Linked DNA regions of Oryctolagus cuniculus. Each later gene encodes a partner of the first gene's protein in a complex. Links are inferred from orthologs where the notes say so. Each region holds a gene or a part of one and is shown in the gene's direction. Other genes may lie near its edges.

Evidence for each region. Proteins that work in one complex are often made in the same cells at the same time.
Region 2: the proteins of CTSK (region 1) and CST3 are in contact, whole or in part, in a crystal structure (PDB 8V57), measured with the Mus musculus proteins. The link is inferred for Oryctolagus cuniculus from reciprocal best matches to the Homo sapiens genes CTSK and CST3. Residues at the interface, in NP_031828.2 of Mus musculus: Asn132, Gln133, Gly134, Gln135, Cys136, Gly137, Cys139, Trp140, Glu173, Asn174, Tyr175, Cys177, Gly178, Gly179, Gly180, Tyr181, Met182, Ser248, Ala251, Ser252, Gln257, Phe258, Val274, Asn275, His276, Ala277, Ser297, Trp298, Ser301, Trp302; in NP_034106.2 of Mus musculus: Pro27, Arg28, Met29, Leu30, Gly31, Ala32, Pro33, Gln75, Leu76, Val77, Ala78, Val80, Asn81, Tyr122, Pro125, Trp126, Lys127, Thr133.

Annotation. Positions count from the first base shown.
Region 1 is NC_091438.1:47,266,404-47,270,503, forward strand, and holds the start of CTSK (cathepsin K precursor), read left to right. Parts: upstream 1-1,255; 5' UTR 1,256-1,278; intron 1,279-1,617; exon of another isoform or gene 1,618-2,282; coding exon of another isoform or gene 2,283-2,314; intron 2,315-2,720; coding exon of another isoform or gene 2,721-2,721; coding exon 2,722-2,841; intron 2,842-4,010; coding exon 4,011-4,100. UniProt on the Homo sapiens protein: Thiol protease involved in osteoclastic bone resorption and may participate partially in the disorder of bone remodeling. Displays potent endoprotease activity against fibrinogen at acid pH. May play an important role in extracellular matrix degradation.
Region 2 is NC_091442.1:47,820,459-47,824,637, reverse strand, and holds the start of CST3 (cystatin-C precursor), read left to right. Parts: upstream 1-1,366; 5' UTR 1,367-1,387; coding exon 1,388-1,636; intron 1,637-3,548; coding exon 3,549-3,662; intron 3,663-4,179. UniProt on the Homo sapiens protein: As an inhibitor of cysteine proteinases, this protein is thought to serve an important physiological role as a local regulator of this enzyme activity.

The DNA of each region.
Region 1 (4,100 bases):
GAGTTACCAAGGCTCTTGGGAGAGAGGGAGGGTATAGTTGGAACTTGAAACCACTAGGGTGCATAATTGATGCCTTAAAGTCCTTGGTTACGTCCTGTTCTGGATTTAAAGGAGTTAGTGATGGGGAAATTTGTTCAGGTCTAGAGCTGATTTCCCTCTAAGGACCACTGTGGTTTATTAGCAACTCTTAAAATCTAGAGTTTAAACCTGTGTTCTTTAGAGTCTCTGTGTGGAATCCAGCTAGAGACTGAATCCAAATCCTATGAAATATCTTTTCTATTCCAGTGACCTTTTTTTCCTGTTTCTTCATAACTGTTTATGGAAGGAAATAGGGGTGTGATTTGGTGACTGAGTTAGATTCTTATGATGTGTCACATGTTTTTTTGCTGGGGAAGCATTTGGAGACACTCATGTGACTGGACTTAGATTGGAGATTTTAATAATGGAGACATAATGTTCGCCAGGCTTCCCAACATCTGAGAGTTATAGCAATACCGTCAGTCACATGAATCCATCGTAAGTTAGGGCATTGATTCTAGTGCTGTCATAAACCAGGAATGTTGGCTTTGGTTACTTTTAGAACCAGTTTCATCTGGATTTTCTGGGCATTTCCTCCCTCACGAAAACCATATTAGGCTAGGAAAGCTAGTCTCCTGCCTGGAAGTGATGACAGCTTTTCACCAACTTAGAAATTACAATTTTGGAAGCTATGGCTTTCCTTATGTTACCCTTTCCTAGCCTGTTACATTTAATTCCTTTAACCCAGAAGTGAGAGAGTCAAATCAAATGTTATGGAGGTGGATCATACAAGGAAAATACTAGGAAAAGATTATAATCCCTCAATAATGGATGTTAAAGAAGAAGGATGGGAGAGAACAAAGCTGTGTCCTTCCATTTTCCTAACTCCTTGTATTTCCCCACCAGAGAAGAAGGTAAGTTCCAGCTTGGTTAATGAGTGTCATGGTCTTTTTTTTTTTTTTTTTTCTGTCTGCTCCAAAGACAGTCATGCGAAACTAAATACTTAGCAACTCTCCAGCCTGGTACATATATAACACTGCACGCACACAAACACAAATGCTGTGCAAACCCGCTGTCTCCTTCCTTCTTAACACCCCTTCTCAGCATTTCTATCCCCGCCTCCCTCCGTTATCCAAAATTTCCAGCCGACTGCTAGAGCTGACTTCCGCAATCTTGATGGAATAAATCTAGCACCCCTAGTCATCCACCCACATTACGCACACTTCCTGGCTGAAAGGAACCATACACAGCCATCAGCAGGTAAGATTTTCAACTTTTTAGATCCTGTAGCCTCTCTTCCTTGCTAGTTCTTTGTTTTACAAGTATTTGAATTTAGTGAGTTGGGGAATAAAAATAAACTCACTAGGTGCTGCAGATGAAAATAGATGCCTTTGAATCCTTTCCTGGCCAAATGTGCCTAGAAATCGTAACGTTCCTTGTACGATTGTATGTATGTGAACATGGTTGAAAATAGAATTGATGGCGTGACCTTCAGAAGTAGCCTCATACAGTTTTCTGCTTTGGCCAGGGGAGCAAAAGAGTTAACTTGGAGGATTGGGGGGGAGGAGGAGTGTCTGAAAGTGATAGCTCAGTGCTTTCTACTCTGAGGCATCTCCCAAGTTCCGCTGTGTTTTGCAAGTCTGCAAAGATTGCACAAAAATGGACTATAGACTCAGAATTGTGCAAGTCCTGTGACTTGCTGCAGACAAGCAGTCCGATGCAGGAGATGAATCCGCTTCTGAGAAGCTGTGAATTTATTCAATATATAACATTGCTTTTCCACGCTACATTCTAACAAACCTTGGTCCTGAGGCTTTTTGTTTTATCAGCCAGTCACAGAGGTTTTTTATTGCTGGAAACAGAAATGAAACTTTGCTAAAACTTTGCTATTGACAGCATCTGGTTGAAATTAAGACCGCTTCCTGCCTAAGGAAGGGGAAGCATGAAAAAAGAGGAAGAAAGGCGTACATAGAGAGTGAAGAGATGGTAAACATGGATAATAGGAAATACAGGGAACTTTAAAATGTTCAAGGAGAAATGCATGTTTATTTTGGTGCAAAATTAAGAACCACATAGGGTTTTTTCACAAACCACATTTTCTGTGAACTTCTTGAAGATTCCTTGTACTGTTAATTTCCTTTCGCCTTTCCTGGCAAGATCTAGACAAAAAAGAAAAGAATGTCTCGAAAATTGATCAGGAAGCAAACAGCTGGGAATGTCTCCTTTGTGTATTCTCTAACCCCACTCCCACCTTGTCTGTGTCCATGCCTGCTGAGGACCCCAAAAGAGACAGATGGTGAGCCCATCCTGATTGTCCAGTTGCTACCTCATGTCTGATTGTACAAGTGTGTGGGCGCTAGTTGAATCTCCTTGGTCAAAATACTTGGAACCAAATGTGCCAGCATTCCAGACAAATCTAGTGCTCGCCTGTTTTTTGTTTTAGCGTATGAAAATCACCTTTAGTTTTCTGCTGTCCTCACAAAGGCAAGTTTCCCTCTGTTTTGTGATTCAGAGGAAAGGGTTCTTAACTTTGAGTTCATGTATCCTCTAGGATTATTGTTTGGACATGGATTTTTCAAGTAAGAGAGACTAATATATTAGCTCCTCAAAGGAGGCTATGACTCCTAGCCCCTTTCTGGGAATACCACTCCAGCTGTTTTCCTGATGCCAAGCAAGGTAAGCTAATTACCACCTTTCCTCAGGATGTGGGGACTCAAGGTTCTGCTGCTACCCGTGGTGAGTTTTGCTCTGCACCCTGAGGAAATACTGGACACCCAGTGGGAGCTATGGAAGAAGACCTACAGCAAGCAGTATAACAGCAAGGTGCCTGGGGACCTGGAGGGGAGCATGGCAGATGGGCTGGGACTTGAGATCTCCAGTCTTTGGCCGGTGCCGCGGCTCACCAGGCTAATCCTCCACCTGCGGCGCCGGCACACCGGGTTCTAGTCCCGGTCGGGGTGCTGGATTCTGTCCCGGTTGCCCCTCTTCCAGGCCAGCTCTCTGCTGTGGCCCGGGAGTGCAGTGGAGGATGGCCCAAGTGCTTGGGCCCTGTACCTGCATGGGAGACCAGGAGAAGCACCTGGCTCCTGCCTTCGGATCAGCGCGGTGCACCGGCCGCAGCATGGCGGCCATTGGAGGGTGAACTAACGGCAAAGGAAGACCTTTCTCTCTGTCTCTCTCTCACTGTCCACTCTGCCTGTCAGGAAAAAAAAAAAAAAAAAGATCTCCAGTCTTGCTTCTTCCATACAAAAGTACTTTACTCCAACTAAGCAACCTTATCCCTGTTCTGTAACAGCATATGGTTTTCATTGCTGTGCCTCAACTCACTGAAACCAAGACCTGTCCTTCTGGGGCCAGTGTAGTATAGCAGGATAAGCCTCCACCTGTGATGCTGGCATCCCACTTAACAACCCAACTACCTGCTAATAAGCTTGGGAAAGCAGCAGAAGATGGCCCAAGTGCTTGGGTCTCTGCATCCACATGGGAGACCTGGAAGAAGCTCCTGGCTCCTGGTTTCAGCTTGGCCCAGCCCTGGTTGTTGCAGCCATCTGGGGAGCGAACCAGTGGATGGAAGATTCATATTCATTCTCATTCTCATTCTCTCTTTTCTCTCTTCTCTCTTTGGTCTCCCTCCCTCCCTCCCTTGCCCTTTCCCTTTCTTTCCCTCCCTCCCTCCCTCCCCTTTCTATCTCTGCCTTTCCAAAAAAAAAAAAAAAAAAAGCTATCTTGTGTTTCTCTTTGGGAAAGTCTTCTCAAATGAGTACTATTAATAAATAAGCAGTTTCTCTATGTCTTTCCAGATGTTTATGTTGCATTATTTGTGTTAGTTTACATCTTTCTTTTTGCCTGATCATAATAATCCATGGTTAGTTCCCAAACTTGATTGTAAAATCTATAATTGTAAGTTTCAGCTTTCCTCCTAAAAACCTGCACAGTATTACCTATGTCATTTTGCACACAGTCTATGCAAGTACTGACTATGCTCTGTTTAGGTGGATGAAATCTCTCGGCGTTTAATTTGGGAAAAAAACCTGAAGCATATTTCTATCCATAACCTTGAAGCCTCTCTTGGTGTCCATACA
Region 2 (4,179 bases), on another chromosome or scaffold:
TCATACCTTGCTCAAGGTGATTTTTTTCAAAATCAGGCTGGGTTGGCAATGGGGAACAGCGGGTTAAGCCACCACCTGCAGCACCACCAGTATCCCACATCACACTGCGAGGTTGAAGTCTCCGATGCTCTGCTTCCGATCCTGGCCCCTGCAAATGCGCCTGGGAAAGCAGCGGCAGATGGACAACGTGCTTGGGCCACTGCCACTCATGTGGGAGACCCAGAGAGAGTTCCAGGCTTCGGCCTGGTCCAGCCCTGGCTATTGCAACTGTTCGGAGCATGAACCAGCAGATGGAAGATTCTCTTTCTCTCTCTCTGTCTCCTTCTCTCTCTAACTCTTACCTTTCAAGTAAAAATAAATACATAAATATAATTAAATAAAAATAACAAATAAAACCAGGTGAAGTTTTCCCAGGAGTAAGCAGAAGCCCTGAGCCAGCAGTGTTGCTCCCTGAAAATGGGGGGGGGGGGGGGGGGGACAAAGGGGTCCCAGGTGGGGCAACATTCCTTCCCCAGCCCGCTAGGGGCTCCCCACTAAGGGTGCTGTCCACACAGCCAGCACGGAGAGCTTCCGGAGCACATCGGGTCCCCGTTTAACCAGCCCACTTGGCCCTTCCAAGAACTCGGCACCAGCGGTGGCCCCTGCACAGAGCTTTGCTCCCCTGGTCTAGCCTGGGCTTCGTGTCCTCTTGGGTCTCAAGGCGACCTCCAGGCCCTGTGTGTCCCGGGATAGCCATCTCTCTGCCACAGCACCTCTGACCTCTGACCCCTGCCCCTCCCCTAAAGCTGGGCTGTTGGCCACCAGCACCTTGTGGCCACCACGCACCCCAAACGACACCGGCCCGAACGGCACCTGCTCCAAATGAAAAAAGACAAAGCCAGACTGTGAAATATTATTTAGTAGATTAGCCTACATAGTATTAACGAAAAGTTTCCTCCTTTTAAAACCGCGCCCACTCGCAGACGCACAAAAATACATCCTCCGGGAGCACCCCGAGGAGCCCCAGGCCCTCGGCTGGCTGCGCGGCCCGGCGCCCTGAACCCAGAACCAAGGCCCATTTTCTCCTGCTGCGGCCGGCTCACGAGTTCCCCAAAACGCGGCGCAGACTCGATTTCCCCGAGGGCTTCCTCGGCGCTCACGGACGCCCCCCGCCCCGACCTCCGCGGGCCCAGGCCGCCACCCTGCCCTCGCCCGAGGCAGCGGGACTCAGGGTCCAGAGCCCGGTTTCGGGCGCCCGGCGCCCCAGGGGCGGGCCGCGCGGAGGGCGGGGCAGGGCCCGGAAGAGGCGGGCCGGGGGCGGGTCCTTGCGGGGCGAGCCAATAAAAGCACGAACGCCGGCACTCGGGCGCAGTCTTGCTCGTGGCTGCTCAGTCTTTGTGCACGCACTATGGCGAGGTCCCTGGGTGTTCCGTTGCTGCTGCTGGCCGCCCTGGTTGTGGCCCTCGCCCTGGCCGTGAGCCCCGCGGCCGGCGCCAGGACGAGGCAGTCGCCGCGCCTGCTGGGCGGCCTGGAGGACGTCGACGCCCAAGAGAAGGACGTGCAGCGCGCCCTGGGCTTCGCGGAGAGCGAGTACAACAAGGGCAGCAACGACAGGTACCACAGCCGCGCGCTGCAGGTGGTGCGCGCTCGCAGGCAGGTGTGTGCCGGGGCGGGCCGGGCTGGGTTGGGGGCCCGGGGATCCGGCCGCGCCCTGGCCGGTGAGTCCCCGGGCGGGCGGGCGGCCTGGAATCCCACCGGACCAGCTGACCGTGTTTGGCGCCTTAGTCATGGGTCCCAGCGCCGGCCTGCTGGAGGCGCCGCAGGGGTCAGGGTCTGGGTGCGTCTGTCTGTGGGTCCCTGTCCCGCGCAGCCCCGGACCCCAGCCTCTTGGGCACCGGGAGCACAGTGGGAGCTGTTCATTAAAGGGCCGTGAGTGGAGTAGAACAAACGGACGGAGCCCGTAGCCCGCCGAGCTTCTGAACACTTCTTTTTGCCTTCTGAACCTGACATAGTTTCCAGTTCACGGAACAGAGGGTGGCAAAGATGCTACAGAGCGTTCTCCAAGAACCCTTCTCCAGCATCCCTCCAACTTCTCAGCGCACCCCTTCCTCTCCCTAACATGCAAGCTTGTTTATGCCTCCGTGTGCTGTGCGTTTCCGGAAAGCAAGCGCTTTCTCTTACCTCCCTAACGCGCGCTTTTGAAAATCAGCCGTCAGCTTGCATGCGCTGAATTGTAATAATGCACAGACCCGGCTGCTGTCGCCATTCTTCCCCTCCCCCCACCTCCACTGCCCAGCTTCCCCAGGCTCAGTGCTGTACGGTCCAGGTCCTAACTCTGATCTGGAGCAGATCCTCAGGCTGTCAACATGAGAGCGGCATCCGTGAGAGGGACTGGGACTTGTTGGTCCGTGATGGGCCAGTGCGTATTTGGCAGCCTCCCTATCGTGTTGTGTCATCTCTGAGGATCACACAGTAGCACGCCTCTCAGACCCCACCCTCTGCTAAGCTGCACATGCCATGACCTGTCCGGGTTAAGCTGATGTTTCCTCCAGGGTACACACCAGTGGTGAGGTGATCCTGCCCCGGGAGTCCTCCTCGGCACAGGCCACTCAGCGGGGCTTTCCTTCCCCTGGGAGAAGCCCTGGGGACTGGTGTCACCACACTGGCCCCTGGCACTACCTGGGCTGTGCTGCTGCAGCAGGTGTGAGGTCAGGCCTCTGGCCAGCAACGGGGTAGGGGCAGCAGGCAGGAGCATCAGCCAGGGCTGAAGCCTGGAACTGGACCTGAGGCCAGAGAGCCGGGCCACTTGGCACCAGCTGAGCGGGGCACACGCTCAGGTCACAGCTCACATCTGCCTTCCCTTGGGAGTTCGGCTGAGTCACGGGCCTGGGCCATGTCTCAGAGGAGTCAGCTAATGTTGGGGCCCTGAGGCTTGTAGCGGGTCCCTGCAGTCCCACGTCTCCTCCAGGGGGACACCGGCTTGGAGTGAGGTGCTGTAGGCCACCTTGGGTCGTGGGTCCATTTTACAGATGGGAAAACCGTCGTCCGAGGGATCCCAGGGCAAGGTCTGAGGCCCTGGCTCCCCCACTCCCAGATCCCTCATCCTGTGCATCCCAAAGCCACTCTGTAACCACCTGCCTGCCTAAAACACAGCGCCCGCTGCCTCCTGCCCTGCCCACAGTTAGTGGGACTTCAGGAACCCTGTCCCTGCAGAGCCCTGCTTTACAGCAGGCCCTTGCCCTGTGCTCCCAGTACATGGAACTGTTTGCCTGCCCCTGGCTGGCTCCCCGGAGCTGTGCCTCATGTTCCTGGAGCTGGCTAAGACATATTTATAGTCCCTGGCTTCCCTCTTACGTTTCCTCTTAATCGCTCCGCCCAGCTGCAGGAGACACCCTATTGGGAGCTGCCTGGACTCAAAGGAGTTGCCAGGGCCTGGGTGTGGCCTGGGAGGGGGAGGCAGCTCCTGTGGCCTTGTGGGTGGCAGTTCTGGCAGCCCAGCAACAACAGCAGAGTGATTGCATGTGTGAAAGTGAAGGGCGTGCTGACTCTTGCTCCTTGCACCCTCCCAGATCGTAAGTGGCGTGAAATACTACTTGGATGTGCTGATAGGCCGGACCACGTGCACTAAGACGCAGACCAACTTGGCCAACTGTCCTTTCCACGACCAGCCGGACCTGCAGAGGGTATGTGCCTGATGGAGGCAGAGGGGAGGGTGTGTGTGTGCGTGTGCAAGCCTGTGCATGTGTGGGGAGAGGTAGCCAGGGGTCCGGGATTCATACGTAGACACACACCGGTGTGAGTTTTGTGTATGTGTGCATGTGGAGAGCAGTAGGGCTGTATGTACCCATGATTAACCTGAATTGCTAAGATAAGGGGGTCTAGCCTGGGCATGGGGGTTTATGGGGAGGGCAGCACGGCTTGCTTTTGGAGGTTGCACCTGCTGGACAAGGATCAGCAGCTGCAGGAGGAGCTGCCTGGAAACGGGGAGAGGGGAGGGGCTCTGTTTAGTCCCAGCCTTGGCCGCCTGCCCCATTGCCCACAGCCCTGCTGAACAGATCAGATGGAATTAGAGGCTTAGGAGTGTCTAGAGCCTTCCAAGACTGCCCCCACTCACTCCACCACCAGCTTCTCCATGGATAGGGCCAGCTCTCGCGAGGTTGCTGCTGTGGAGAGAGCCACTATCCCCTAGTCACTGGCTTC